Linked DNA regions of Lepisosteus oculatus. The protein of the gene in region 2 interacts with the protein of the main gene of each other region in a biochemical or structural test. Links are inferred from orthologs where the notes say so. Each region holds a gene or a part of one and is shown on either strand. Other genes may lie near its edges. The genes, in order: pias4a and top2a.

The links.
Region 1: of the proteins of top2a (region 2) and pias4a, one has a biochemical effect on the other in vitro, tested with the Homo sapiens proteins (2 studies listed by BioGRID). The link is inferred for Lepisosteus oculatus from reciprocal best matches to the Homo sapiens genes TOP2A and PIAS4.

The regions. Positions count from the first base shown.
Region 1 is NC_090724.1:8,882,508-8,890,153, forward strand, and holds the start of pias4a (E3 SUMO-protein ligase PIAS4-A), read right to left. Parts: upstream 3,092-7,646; 5' UTR 3,038-3,091; coding exon 3,011-3,037; intron 2,982-3,010; exon of another isoform or gene 2,647-2,981; intron 1,606-2,646; coding exon 1,206-1,605; intron 740-1,205; coding exon 655-739; intron 472-654; coding exon 430-471; intron 1-429. Other genes in the region: map2k2a (dual specificity mitogen-activated protein kinase kinase 2), read left to right, coding at 6,396-6,487.
Region 2 is NC_090723.1:6,354,331-6,362,301, reverse strand, and holds the start of top2a (DNA topoisomerase 2-alpha), read right to left. Parts: upstream 3,190-7,971; 5' UTR 2,976-3,189; coding exon 2,952-2,975; intron 1,606-2,951; coding exon 1,462-1,605; intron 922-1,461; coding exon 831-921; intron 489-830; coding exon 425-488; intron 1-424. UniProt on the Homo sapiens protein: Key decatenating enzyme that alters DNA topology by binding to two double-stranded DNA molecules, generating a double-stranded break in one of the strands, passing the intact strand through the broken strand, and religating the broken strand.

The DNA.
Region 1 (7,646 bases), on a different chromosome or scaffold from region 2:
GCGGCCTCCCTCCAGCAACCCCTGAGCCGACCGCTCTGCTACGGGAGCGAGGGATGGGATGAGGGAGAGACTGGGGCTGCCCAGCCCGAGGAATTCTATCAGAGCCCGGTCGATAATGTGAAGATCCGGCTGGGTGCCCCCTTTGAAGACTGCAGTCTAGCTTTTCTGCTGTGGCACCACGCTGGGGTCAGGCTCCAGTTTTCCCCCCACATCAGAGGATACACGACCTGCACTTCCAAAAAGCTACCAACGTACAACCATTACAGATATTTAACCTCTGGGAACATTCAATATCTCAAAGCACAGCAGCGGTGTGAGCCTTGAGTATTGCACTCAAGTGTTTCCCAGGAACAGTGATCCCGTATTGAGCCTCATCTTCCTGCGACAGAGAGGGAGACAGGCGAGATTCCCCAGAGAGAGCACACTCACCTGAGCACCACCTGGACAGACTTCACCCCGAGGCGCAGCTCCCTGGAACAGGAGACAGAGCGATCACTCAACACGGTTCTCTCTTTTTTTTGGCATGTAGGACATGTAGGTATTAAAGCACGAGCCTGTAAATGTCCGGATAGTAACCAGATGAAGAAGAGGTGGGTATTGAGCTCCTGCAGGTTTGGGAGCAGAGAGAGAGAGAGAGAGAGAGAGAGAGCTCACCGAGAATTCCTGATCTGCTCCACCTGGCTCTGGGACAGCTCAAAGGTGCACGGGCTGTCCTGGAGTTTCTCGCTGTTCTGGGGCACTAGGGAGACAGAGAGACAGTTACAGACCAGACTCGGGAAAGCTCTGCCAAAAAAGACTGTATCCCAGCGGCCTCCCCCTGGACCTGGGCAGTGTCTGTAGGTTTTCCAGGTCTCTTTAAAGCAGCAGCACCTGCAGGTTGAAGCTGTTCAATTGGTCCAATTAAGCCACTAACGAGCATCTTCAGCCATCAAGACCTTGGCTCCAATAAAAACCTGCAGTTTGCAGGGAAGCCGGAACCCGGGACCTGTTGGACAGTCCTGCTCCAGCCCAGGTGCTGCTGAAAAGACCGAGAATCTTGTCTCCAGTGAACTTCTGTTCACAGGGGTCACTGAAGGTCGGAAATCGCAGAATAAGAGAAACCGAACTACAAAGCAAACAGCAGGAAACAGAGGAGGGAGAGGGGAGACCACACAGGAGAAAGGGCACGGCCAGCAGCTCTCCCGGACGGGTCGGGGGGGACTCACCGAGCTCGGTGGGGTGCAGCAGCACGTCCACAGTCTTGTAGAAGGGCAGGGGCACCAGCTTGACGTCGGTGGGGGGTGTGGCGGCGGTGGCGGTGGCGGCGAGGCCGTTGAGGTAGTCCGCGCCCTGCGGGGGGGCCGGGGCCGGGTGCGGGGGGCTGCGGGCCGGGTAGGGCGCCTGCAGCAGCTCGGGGGGCCGAGGCCGCTGCGCCAGCCAGCCGGGCGCCTTGGGGAAGCGCGACTCGTACAGCTGGCGGATGGTCTTGAGCAGCTCCGGGCTGCACTCGCTCTGCACCAGCCGCAGGGCCCGGCCCACCAGGTCCTGCTTCAGCCCGCTCTTGCTGCGGCCCATGGAGGACAGCAGCGTCTGCAGGTCCGACACCCGGAAACTCTTCACCATGTTCTGCGGGGCGGAGAGGAAGACAAGAGACGCTGAGCACCTCCTCTCCGGACCCTGGACCCCCTCCCCGTCCCCCCAGACTCGTCGACATGCGCTGGGCGACCTCCTCCTGCTGCACCCCAGAGCCCCAGAGGGCTGTCTCCAAGGCAATTGGGGTCCCCTCTCCCCTCTCCCCGAGAGGGGACCGATCCGGACTCCACCCCTTCCTCTTCAGAAGCGCTTTGCCCGAACTGGATCTGCCTGCCCTTTGCACCGCGGGCCGCACTCAGAACCCTTGTTCTTTACTGGAAAGCACTTTAAAAAGCAGCTTTGAAAGGCGCTATATAAAACAAAAGATCCGCACGCAGCATCGACTCCTCTCCCCAAGCAGGAGACCAGAGGCACCGCTGTGGAAACTGGCGACACCGGGCAAGCCCTCCCAGCGCCCGGCTGCCTCTCAACACAAGCCCTTCACCCCAGGACGAGCCAGCCGGACTCGTCTTTGCTCCGCCTGCGTGCAGCCCGCAGACGCGGCCGGACCCTTACAGAGCAGCCGACACACCCGCCGGGGGCTCGGACAGAAACCCACGGGCACAAGACGTCACGCCAGCGGAGCCCGAGAGGACTAAAGGCGAACAGGGCTGACGACTTCTCTCAATCAAACAGCACGGAGTTCTCTCTAAATCCATCCGGCGAAAATCAGACTGCAACAACAGTTATGATCAGCTTTGAAGCGGGGCTTCCGTCTGCGTCGGCTGTTGCCCGTCTGCACACCGGGGCGCTGCTGGCTCTGCTCAGCCGGGGAGCACCAGCGCAGGGGGGCTGCTTTGCATCTCCGCCGGCTGGGGACCAGGCACGGGTGACGGCAACGACGGGTCGGGACTCCTGCGCTGCTCGGCGTCTCCAGCCACAGACGCCGACAAGGGTGCGCTCATCGGGGTCACCGCGGCGCCCCGGCCTCACGCTGGCGCCGGCCAGGTGCCGAGCCCGGACACCGGCCCTGCAGCTCCCTTCCCCCTGGGGGCAGCGGACAGGTCCGCCTCTCTCTCGCCGGGAAAAACACACCTCGTCGCTGTCAACCCGTGAAGACGGAAGCCCCTCTCACGCCGCGCAGGGTCCCTTCAGCTGCAGGCACACGCCGGGTGCGAGGTGCCGAGCTTGCAGGAGGGGAGTGAATGATTAAACCCGAGCCGCTCCGACTCCCCGCTGGCGGATGTTTTTATTTATGGATCTATCATTCATTATCCCATATGCCAGCGACCCCTCTTCACAACGGCTCTGCCCCCTGGCGTGAATCTCCCTGCCACCCCCAGCCTCGCCGCGCTGGGCTCCCGCCCTCCCCAGCCTCGCCCGAAGCCCCCGCTCGGCTGCCCCGGCCGCCCCCCGGCCCCTTGCCCAGCCGCCCGGGAGAAAGCAGCTCTCGACTTGCCATCGCTTCCACTAGCTCGGCCGCCATCTTCCTCCAGCAGCCCCGCGAGAGCCAAAACTAAGAAAGCGAGCTGGCCGCCAATGAGAGGCCGCGGGGTCACGTGCGGGGGAGCCGGGCCCACCAATCGGCGCACGGCCCGGTCACGTGGTGCGGGGGACTGCGCAAGAAAGGGGCGTGGCCGCTGGCTCTTAAAGCGACAGTGTTAGCAAAAAGTCGGGTCACACTTCCACATAGGCTGCCAGTGGCGCGCTAGGCCTCGGCACCCTAAAAAGGCGCATGGGCTGCCTGATATCACGGGGTGCCACCTTTTAGAGCTTGATAACCCCGGAATGAACGTGCGCTCCGAGGCAGCGCCAGGGTCTTCTTACATTAATCGCGTTTCTTTAGCGGTGTCAGTCGGAAGACAGCATGAGTCTGGGAGACTCCAGTCCGTATCCAGAATTCTACTTCACACCTCGCGTCCAACCAAACGGCTTTAGGAGAAGGAATGCAATGTGCGTTTTTAAACAGGTCCAACATCTTAATTAGATCATATCTTTTTTTCTTATCGACAGAAAGGCTTATGGAAATGTTTTTGTCTGGAAGGTTTGTAGAAACCAGTGTCTGATATTTTGCACTTTGTTAAAAAGATGGAAATGAGTGTCAGAATTGTGCATTCTAGGAGCTGGATCCAGGAATCCATTTCCATGTCTTTGAAGCTGAACAGCTCTTGTAAAACTGAATTAGTTAGGAAGGACACAAAGATACGCACACCCTGTAACCCCAAGTCCTTCCACAGACTGTTCATTCGGAATGATGTGCCAGGCATGACATCTCCAGCTCTAGGCTGTGGATAATACACAGTCGCCCCACCGTTCATGAAACCTTACTTTTTTTCCCCCATTTCCATGTTAACACACCAATTTCACGAAGACACACAGACTTTCGCAGTAACACACACTAACACACAGTAACACACAGTGTGAACATGTCTGGCCAGTGAGCAACCCCACCAGCAGGAGGAGGGTGGAGGAAAGATGAAGATGGTGAATGGCTGTGCCGGATCTCCCATGGGGCCGTGCTGGCACAGCTGCTAGGGCCTAGGACATTTTTAGGGCCTACGAAGGAGGGAAACACTCCTGACTGACGAGCTGAAACAACATGCTTGCTCCACATCAACAATCCCACGCTCTCTAGCAGCTGTTCTAGAAACTAGAAGTGTGGAAGTGATGGTCTCTCGACTCGCCCCATCAATCGCCTGGTTTAGCATGAGAAGAGCGTAGAGAGGTTATGAGGAGCCATCGTAAATAGCTGTCAGTGTTTGCTGTTTGTCCTTGTAACCCACTGAAAACTGAAGTACCCCTCCTTAATTCTTACCGCGTGTGTGTGTGTGTCAGTGTGTGTGTCAGTGAGTGAGTGTGCGTGTGTGTGTAACCCCTTCAAGGAGTTTTAATCTCTGTCTATCAAGTCCAACAGGCGGAGGTAAATAAACGAGTTGTTGTTGGCACATCAGGGGTGTGTGAGCTCCATTCTGTGCGAATCCCCCGGTCCTCACAATAGTTTAAAGTGCATCATGTCAATCGACGTCATTCAACTGGCGTTGACCCCTCTCCTGGCACATTTCGGAGTGAAAGTGCCGAGGGCCGACGAGCACCACAGTCCGGCCCTGGCGAGAGGGAGAGTCAGTGTTTGTCAGCGGGGGATGATGGGATGTTGCTCTGGGAGCGCAGGCAGGGAGACCGGCTGTCAGGCTCAGGAGCAGTCGTCGGGTGGCCATGTCTCACTCTGCTGGGATTAGACTGCAGATCGTCGGGGGACAGACCCTGTCACCTGCAGTGAGTCTACCTCATTCCTTCCTCCCCTCCGGCCTCCAGGAGCCCCAACAGCTGTTCTGAGGAGTGTTTCATGCCGGTCAGGACACTGGCCCGCAGTGGGTCTCGTGGAGCAAGACAGCGCAGACACTGGGCAGACACTGTGAGCAGCTCGCCACAGAAACGGAGCTGACCAGCTGTGATCCTGCCTCTCAATTGCAGGACTCCCCCCAGGAGGTCCAAGACTGGACAGAGCAGGATGTGCAAGTGCAAGAGCACTACTACCGTTCTTATGCAAACATTTTATTTCAAATCCACCTGGGAATCTAGAAGTGTTGCGTTCCTATCGATATATATATATATGAATTATATATGTATTCCTATATATATTTTTGTGTGTGCGTGTCTAAGTCTGCTCCTGGAGCATTATAAGGACAGACAGCATTGCGCGTTGTGACAGGCAGGAACACTCGCGGTCGAAGCCACTCTGTTTCTGGAGTTACTCCATCCCGCCGCCAGAGGTCGCTGCGTGCAGCTCCAGGCGCGACCTCTAATCTCGCGAGATTTATGTTGCAACCCTGGACCGGATTCCGCTGATCGTGAAGGATGTGTGGGTGACAGATCTCGCGAGATTCCGTGGGACCCCTCCTGGCCGCGTCTGCTGCTACTGCTACTGCTTCCTGAACCGGGACCCGAACTGAGTCCCCGCCGCCCAGCTGAGAGCCTAACCGAGCCGGCGTCCCCCGGCCCATCCAGTGGACATTCGCCGCAGACACCCCGCTCACGCCCTCTCCCCGCCGCAAGGGCCGCGCAGCCTCGGGCTCTAGTGTTCGCTGCCACCGGGGGACCCTGCCTCCCTTTTCCGCGTCCGCAGAGCCGGAGACAGGCCGCGGCCGCGGTGCGCCCCAGGACAACACCAGAGACGGTCTTTCTCTCTAAACAACAGCTGAAGACTCTGAAGGAAAGGAAAAGAGACAAACGCGGTGATATGCTGTTTATTTATTTTTTCCTGGCGTCTTCCTTCAAGTGATCACTTTTCCGTACGTGTCTGAAGGTACCCGGGGGACTCGCACCTTGAAGAGGAGACTCGGGTGTTTTCAACGTTTCAAAAGCTGCAAAACCCGATTCTAACCTCCGCGCTTCGGGACGGGCAGAGGTGCCGGGGCCGCGATATTCATCCTGTCGGATGCAGACGTCGATCCGTGTGCGGTAGTCGCGCTGCTGCTGCCCGTGTCCCAGCCCCGCCGGCAGACCGGTGGCCATTAGCGACCCACCTTCCCGACCGGACCGGACCGCCCGCCCGCAGCTCTTGAGAAGGGGATGTCGCTGTGAAGAACAGCATCTCAGCTGTCAAAAAACACCCACTATCGGGGCACTCGTGCATTTCAGCTTTAATTGTCCAAAAGAAAACCTTTCCCAAGCCGGCCTGTAGAGGCGGGTGGGGGCTGCAGTCGAGACGGGGCCGCCGAAATCTCTCTCTATGTTTTAATCTGGGCTCCCGACTGGAGCTTCTGATTCAGCGAACCAGCGCCGAGTCGGTTTTCCCGGTCCAGTGCGAGCTGTGCGGGCTGGGTCGCGCCTGAGGCCCGAGCGAGATGGCTCCGAAGAAGAGGCCGATGCCGCTGAACATCACCCCCACGGGCGGGGAGGGCCAGCCCGGTCCCAACGCCGTGGACGCCGCGTCCGAGTGAGTACCTTCCGGGGGGAGCGGGTCAGCTGCTGGGGGGGGGGGGGTGTTAATGTGTTTAAAAAGTCTTCTTGCCCGAAAGGTTAGTGCATCAGTGGCCTGGAGTGAAAACGTAGCCGCGGAGCAGGGCTGAGCTGATACCGGGCGTGTGTAGGGTGTGTCGGGGGTTTGAGACCCGCTTGCTGACGGACACATCAGCAGGAAGGGTGCGACAGCGGGGTCTGGACTGGAAGGTTGGGGGTCCCCCCCCTGAGCCGGATGCTGCACCCAGAGAGCCGCAGGGAAAGACCCCGCTGTAGGAGAGGGCGCACATGGGAGTCGCTTTGTATCAAAGGGCATCGGGGAAAGATCAGTAACCTGTCGAGTTTCACCTGTTCAGACCAGTTTGTCATGAGCGCTCCCATACAAAGACATTAAAGGAATCGCCCAAAACACCAACACTGAGCAGCAGCAACAACAATAAGTTAATAAATGAGTAGCTCAGCGTAAAAGAGTGCAGGGCAGCAGTGTGTTCAGTAGCTCAGGGTGAGAATGCAGGGCAGCAGTGTGTTCAGTAGCTCAGGGTGAGAATGCAGGGCTGCAGTGTGTTCAGTAGCTCAGGGTGAGAATGCAGGGCTGCAGTGTGTTCAGTAGCTCAGGGTGAGAATGCAGGGCAGCAGTCTGTTCAGTAGCTCAGTGTGAGTGCTGGGCAGCAGTGTGTTCAGTAGCTCAACGTAAGAGAGTGCAGGGCAGCAGTGTGTTCAGTAGCTCAGTGTTATAGTGCTGGGCTGCAGTTTGTTCAGTAGCTCAGTGTTACAGTGCTGGGCTGCAGTGTGTTCAGTAGCTCAGCGTAAGAGAGTGCAGGGCAGCAGTGTGTTCAGTAGCTCAGCATGAGAGTGCTGGGCTGCAGTGTGTTCAGTAGCTCAGCATGAGAGTGCTGGGCTGCAGTGTGTTCAGTAGCTCAGCATAAGAGAGTGCAGGGCAGCAGTGTGTTCAGCAGCTCAGTGTGAGAATGCAGGGCAGCAGTGTGTTCAGTAGCTCAGCATGAGAATGCAGGGCAGCAGTGTGTTCAGTAGCTGAGCGTGAGAGTGCAGGGCTGCAGTGTGTTCAGTAGCTCAGTGTGAGAGTGCAGGGCTGCAGTGTGTTCAGTAGCTCAGCGTGAGAGTGCTGGGCAGCAGTG
Region 2 (7,971 bases):
TGAAATTTAATTCTCAAGGAAGCACAGCTTCCCAAACAAACATTTTGATCCAGGTGATAGAAAGGATTTCCGAGAGTCAGTGACACTCAAGTGATTTTTTAGAGGTGTGTCATTGATAATTGTTTCCATAATAGTGTACTAGTGTAGGAATAAGTGTAGCGGTGGATTACAGGGCAAGTATGTGACTAAGGCAGGGTTTGCGAAGCCCAGTGGCTTTTGATTTTTCCTCCAATTAAGTCATTTACTGTTAAATGATCCAGGGATTTATTTAACTTGAGCTTTTTCATGGTTTTCAGTTCCGAAACCACAATAAAATAAAGTATCTACATTTGAAAAAAACACTCTAGGTACTGAAATGTTAAAATGTTAACGCTAAACTGTCGACTCGATTGCACCCTTGACTATATTCTAGAACATCACTCACGGGTCAATGTTGATCTTGATGCAGGACATCTTCTTATCCCGCTGTTTGTTATCTGCAGCATTCACTGGAGAAAAACAAGATCTTAGATTTAGGCTTTTACTTATTTTTCAAACAGAAGAACAGATTTTCTAGCTCAATTTTCAATAATCTTGAAAAGCTGTGTTTAATACTGTTGATCATTAATATGCACAGAGTCAAAAGGATCCATGGAAATATCCTCTTACGGCAATGTTAGAAAACAAATACACACCGTCCATTATCCTGTGGCGCTATGAAAAAGATCAATGGCTCAATGCTGTATGGTATAACAATGTCCGGAAGAGAGACACATCTTTGTCAATTAAGCACAAATTATTACAGCAGAAGGCTACTCTGACACCACCTCACATTATTGATTAGTACCTACCAAGGATTTCATCAAAGATCTTGTACAAGCCAGGAACAAAAGTCACATCTCTGCAGTTCATTCCGATTTCTTCATCCATCACCCACATTTGCTAGAAAAGAAGGCCATCAAAACTTAGTTATCTATTGTGGAACATCAAACTGGGGCTCTTCAACAAGATTTCAGTGTGAGCTGATTGTTAGTTGACTGGTGCCACAGCCTTCATTCAATGCAGTAACATTGCAAAGCATGCCGGAACTCTGCATTAGGAAACATACTAGAAACTAGGGAATCCACCATAGGCTGCATTTCTTACTGGACTGTCCAACTACAGCAGGTTCTCAACATCCACAAGGGTTCAGTGCAGAGAACCATCACAAACAACCAAACTGACATATAACCTTGTACCATTGCATAATGTACTACAGTTTAGAGTACACATGGCGAAAAGATATGAGACACCCTCCCTTAAATGATCACGAAAGTATTAATGCACTAGCTTTGAGTTGACAAAAATAACATCCATCCACTAAAACGGGGTAATAAACAGCATGAATCCAGCCTCTGCCTACACTTTCCCGGATATATAAAGAGCTGCCACACTGCAAACTGCATGGCCAGGTGCCTGCCCGCCTGTGTCACAAGTGCTCACCTGTGTCACGGGCTCCACAGACCCGATGTAGGTGTCGGGACGGAGCAGAATGTGCTCCAACTGCGTCTTCTTCTGGTAGATCCTCTCCACAGACAGACGCTTATCATCCTTCGCCTTGCTCACAGGCTTGTTCTCAAACATCGTCTGCAGGGGACACAAAAGGGCAAGAGGTGGGCGACAGCAATTTGGCTTTACAAACGCGCCCTGTGGACTGGTATTTAGAATCCCCGTCTGGGAGAGCCACTGTCCAGCGGGTTTTAAAGATCCACAGCAGGGAAAAGTTCTGGCAAAAGAGCTTAAATGAAGCCAATTACCAGTTCAATTGTATTATTAATAGGTGCGCTGGAATGAAAACCAGCCCTGCAGAGGTGAAGTTCGGTTTACCGTTTAGCTCATGCCATCAAGGAGTCTGAAACGGTTTTTAACTTCCCACAGGAAAAGTGCTGCATGAAATGATTGTGCCTTACTCTGGTGTCGTAAGAGAAGAAAGCGATGCGTGTCAATGCCACAGGCGGTAGGGATTTAAAAAGATTTAGGGGGACGGGACGGACTGAAGTTCGGCTCGCTGCCACCAGATTGTAAACTTGACCAAAAAAAAAAGTTAACGGACAACGCTCTTCCGCCCCGCTCGTCCCAGACCGAAGCACTTAACATTTGCAAGTGTAAATAGTCTTTCGTTTCTGTACACAAGAAAGACTAGACATCCCATGTAGCAGCTGCGTTCTATTTAGTCAAACCCCACAATATTTACCCCCAAAATTTATAATTGAAATATCTCGGAAAATTCTTCGTCCCAGATACAATGCCTGTCACTGTGGTAATTAAGAAAGGTTATCAAAACGCCGAACTCTACTTTCCTTGGTTCCGCTGGGACAGTAAGATGAGAACTGGTCAATAATTCAGTTCTTGCAGCCGAATAAGTAAAGCAGAAATCACGGAATCGTAGTTTTAGGGAAATCGAGGTAGGATGACCGTCAGGGGGCATGACAAACTGAGTCCAGTTCTCGCCATTTTGTAAGCACTTCAACGACCTGGGGACATTCACGATCTGAAATCTGATTTTCATACCCATCACCGGCTGCGATCGCAGGCTGCACGCAAACAGGACAATTTACCCTCGCCAGAAAAGAAAAAAGAAAATATGTCCCAAGACGAAATCGAAAGCACTTATCTGGAAAACTTTACATTAAAATAATATTTTAGCATTGGAGGATTGGAATGCGGTCATAAATCCAGTTTTTTACTGTTCTGATTGTTTTCATAATCCCAGATTAAAAACTCCCTCCACCCCGCAAGTCTTTTTGCCTTACATAACGGTTTTGAACATGAATGTAAAACCGTGTTTATTAGCCCAAATGAAATAGAATTGTTTAATCGTGCACAGACGAGGAAAGAAACAGGTATATAATATTTTCAAGTAAGCATTCGGCTCCAGATTTCGGTTTTCCCTCCACAGATACCACCAGCATGCTCGTCGACATTAACCTTACCTTCAGCGTTCCTTCAGAGGCCATTTCTTAACTATTCGAGCGGTATTACAACCTATATAAAACAGAGAATGGCTGTTTTACTAAAACAGATGAATAAAGCTAAAAATATCAACGCTAACAAAACCCTCTCAACCGAACCTAGCACTACACTTTAAACCTCTACAGAATAACACTGACTACCACAACCGACAAAGAGCCAACCCTTCACCGAACTGCATTTTCAAATTTAAAAATACGTTTACATTGCGCTTCAAAGATTGACCAATCAGATCCCGCGAAGCCTACTGACTTCCGTTTGAAATTGTTTTTTTTTCGTGGCTGTTTCCGCTCAAGTGCTGTCATTGACCAATCACAGGACACAGCAACATGTTCTTCGTCTCACATTGGTTATCGTGGACAGGACGGGGCGGTGCGTCGCAAGTTGAAATAGCCAATCACATCAAGAGAGGAGAGTAACCAGCATTGGTTTCGCGCTGAATCGTAGGTTTAATAATCTTTAAGCAGCTGTAGGGTTTTTTTTAATAGCTTTGATCCAAAATGCACTACGATTGTGCAAAGCTGGACTTTAAACGTTGTTGTTATAAGATTTTTATTTTGTTTGTGCAGTTATGTATCCGTACTTTAAACTGTATGCAGTAACGCTGTATGTAAAAAGACTTCCCCCGAATACAGGACTCTATATTATGACTCCATGTGGAAACCTCTCTGGAGCTTGAGAACACGTTATTTGCCGCGGCAGGACCAGCTCGCTAGCATAATCAGGAAGAAATGTCGACTATGTGTACCGATAAGGATATCCGATAGATGGCATCGTGTTCCAAGCAAAAGTTAACACGTGAAGACCAGCAAAAAAAGCTATTTCTCGCTGTAACCCCCCGTCACTGTACGCTCTCACCCCACCCCGTTTGTGTTTATCTGTGGAAAGTAATTTTCACCAGTCTGGTCACCCCCCATTTGCAACATTATTATTATTATTAGGAACAAGTAATAGGTTTATTCCATTCTGAAAAGAAGAAAGAAAACAACGTTTCGGCCATGGAGCCTTCTTCCGGTGTGAGCATATTATTATTATTATTATTATTATTATTATTATTATTATTATTATTATTATTATTATTTTATTATTATTATTATTATTTTATTATTGTTGTTGTTGTTACCATCCTCCTCAGCCTTTGTGACTGTTGTTTTTTGTTTTGTTTAATATAATATATATTTAGCTCATGACTAAACGTGTCCGTGGTCTCCTCTATATATTATAATTGTGTTTTATCTTGTGTATTCTTCTTATTGTTGTTGTCATCCTGCAAAGCACTTTGAGAAGCCACCTTTAAAGGCGCTATATAAAATAAAGTTTATTATTATATATTATTATTATTATGACATGGGACTCACTGTAACCTCAGTCTGGCCTGTAACCATGTGCACACTGTCTCCACGCTGAGCCCACTGTCTGCACTGTCCTCTCCCTGTTCTCTGAACCCTTCTTCCTTCAGTACTTGTGTTTTACAAGTGAGCTATTTGACAAAGTGGCTGAGAGGCGCCTGGAGATTCCAGGCTTGTCAGAGGTACTGTTCATCTATCTGTTTGATAGCCACTTTCTCCAGTTCACAGTGTGCTTGCCCAGCACCTTCACATACCAGTTTCAGCCGGATGTGGGAGCAGGTCAGGGCCTGGGCTTATTAACGCTGCCGTTGGAGTATGCTACACACATATCTACGCCTGCATCGGGCCTGCTCGTCCACTGCACTTGGGCGGCCGTCCGATCGCTGGCCTGAGAGCCCTGGCTCGGGCAGGGGATGTTTTCTGTCAGCCCGCGTGCTCTGTTAATACTGAGTGACAGCTGTGGGCCCCGTGCTGATGCCGGAGTGAGCAGGCTCCAAACAGCGGAGGGGCTGTGCTGTGGATCCCAAGGGGGGCCCTGCTGATCCTCAAGGTCAGGCTAAATTTAGCCCAGGCAAGGTTGCTGATAGAAGCCCATCCCAATGCGTTGATGCTGATCAGCGAGGCCAGACTGCAGTGCTGCAAGATGGCCACTCAACACAGCAAAAGCAGATCTTCCTGGGACACACTTTATTGCTTGATGTCATTAGTTCTGTCTGGCCCTCAGCCCTTGTGACTTGGTGAAGGTATTGAAAGACAGGGTTATTCTGAGATCCTATCTTACAGTACATGCCTAAGGATCTTTGTTTCGTGGGAGACCTTTATTGCAGCAAAATGACATTTAGATAGATGGTTTGCGGTTAGGAAAAAAAAAACCATTGCATACCAGTTTCTCCTTGCAAGTGATTCCAAAATGTCAAAAACAGCATCTCAGAACGCAGAAGTCATTGACATTTCCTTTTGAAATATAAGCCATTTCAAATCCTGAACAGAACACATCATAGATGTGGCCATTTTAGATGGGTGTTTATTGTTTTGAAAGTGTGCTTCATGATTTCATGATTTAAAATGCCAGAAGTGCAGGAGAAAGAAGCATTAGAATACGTTTGATGTCACAGTGCCCCCTGCTGGAGGGATCAGTGTCTCAGGTGCTGTCAAGCAGTTGCGTTCACTTTTATTGGAGGTTCCCAAGTGTCCATCTCACCTACCATCCCTCCTTTACAGCACAGCTAGAGGGCACACGTCCATGAATTTTCAAAACTGCTTTCCTCCGATTTTAACTTCAATAAAAAGCCTACTGATTGTAATTGTGATTGTAAGACGCCTTTAACTATTTTTAATCTCCAGCGGAAGCGCACAGTGCCTTTGCTTGCACCGGGCACTGTAAAATTCAGCCTCAGTAAGTCCAAGGAGGTGCCGGAAATGCCCGGCACTGGTCGGAAAGGAGGTCAGTGCCGACCAGTGCGGGAGAGATGGCCGGGGCAGTCTCGGATTCAGCATTGATCCACTCCTGACTGTGGGCTGTAACACAGCGAAGAGTAGACCCTGGGAAAGCACCACAGGAGCGATGAAAATGGACGGGGAAGAGGCCGGGCGGACTGCTATCAAAGTCCTCCCTCCCTTGGTCAGGCAGCAGAGCAGAGCTCAGCCCGAGAGTGCAAGACTGAGCAAGGAAGGCACAGACTGCATCAATAACAGAGTCCAGCCACTTGACGGCTGTGGCCCTGTGCCATGACGATCCGGCACTCTGCACTAGACTGGAATCCATTGTTTGGCCTGACAATGGTATCCATTATTCCCAGCTGTCAGAGCTGGGGTGGGGTTAGCATTGGAGTGAACAACAGAGTAGAGTTATATTTAGAGTCACAATAAGGTTTAGGGAGAAAAGCTGGATTACGCTCAATAATGGCACAAACTTAGAGTTAGATTTAAAGTTATGTTTAGCCTTAAGGTTCTGGACTGGGTTTGGGCGTGGGATATCCTAAAATAGTTGAAGGCGACAACTTTAAATTTGTCTAGAACCCCCCCCCCCAAAAAAAACAAGCAGGAAAACCAAAAGCATGTCCTGTGGTGACATGCAAGCAGCAAAGCTGAAATTGTTTTCCCTGCAATTGCTCCTTCAGGCAATTATGTTATTCATCCTTGATGTTGCGCTGAAATCTTTCTCTCTGCATCTCTAATGTATTCATTAGCTGTTTGGATGTCATTATGCAGCGTGCCGCCAGCGGATATTCAGGTTAGCAAACCGTCAGGATCTTGATGATTGCTGCACTTACTATTAATAAAATATTAGCTGTGTTTTGCAGTGAAGGTGTTAACCCTTCAGTTTCAATAGCATACCGCTTCGTTAATTTCTGAACCCCTATTTTACCGCGGTCTGCTTTTTCCGCTCATTCTGGGGCTCTTTCACTCTTCGCCAGGAGTGCTACACTTGTTGGACAAAATATTAGGACCCCCCCCCCTGCTGCAAACACAGCAGAGGACGTAGCTTGTATTCTGCAAAATTCTGATCTGTTTGCAGCCCCCATTCTTCTTCTTCTTAATGTATGCGTCTCCAATTGTTCTCCTTATATCCACCCAGCCTGGAAGAGCTAATCATGTGTTTTTCACATTTTGATGCCCAGCTCACGAACCCCACAACCGCACACAGGGAGGAGAGAACGAGAAAGGTGGGGCAACGCCCTCCGATCCACCCACCTCTGAGCCGCTTGTCTTAAAGGCATCCAAGGTGCCACACTGCCCCCTGCAGGAGAGGCTGTTTACCAACAGCCCCGTGAGCCTGCAAGTCCCTGGGAGGCCACAGGGGGTCACTGTCGCTAACATCCAAGACCTCTCTAGCTGACTAATCCCCCTTCCCCACCCTCTGCAGCTCTCGGCCAACTGTTCACCACCATTCTGGGATTCCCAGACATCCCAGCATCCCAGTTAGTGACCTGACCCGGGCTCGAACCTGAGGTCACAGAACTCTACCTAATGCTCAGGCAAGCATATTACCATTTGAGCCACTGAGCCATCCCCCAGCTCCTCTAGCTGGGTCACCTTCAGTCGAGGTTGTGATACTGTGTGTTCAGAAAGTCTGGGGATCGAAGTCTGTCTCAGGCTCTTCATGGCCTGCATCTTTGACTGGGGGTGGGGGTTGCTAATATTTTGGCCAGTGAGTGTGGAATATGGCACACAAGTTTGTCACTGCTTTAGAAAGGCTCCTCACAGCTGTCAACGTCAGTATTTTTCATAATGTTGTTATTTATTTAGTGTAACATGCAAAAGTACAAATTAACACGCACAAATGCCTTGGGATTCTAAAACAAGATGGAGAACTTCAGTTATGTGGGCACAATACATTCAAGCAAAAGATTTGTGACCTGCTCATAATACATATTGTAACAAACACATACCTTGAGTATCAGCAAAATGATGCCTTCTAGCAATAAACAAATTAATGAATTATAAAATAATTAATCAAGACTCCTTTACCCCTGCATTTGTGAATTTTATCTGGTTTAACACCAAAGGAGTGTCCAACCTCCACTGTGGTCTCCTTGCAGAGGAATGGTGAAAGGGAGCAACAGGAAAGGAGTTTGATTGTAAATTGCACATCAGAGGGATAACAAAACACACTGTCACCTCAGCAGAGCAA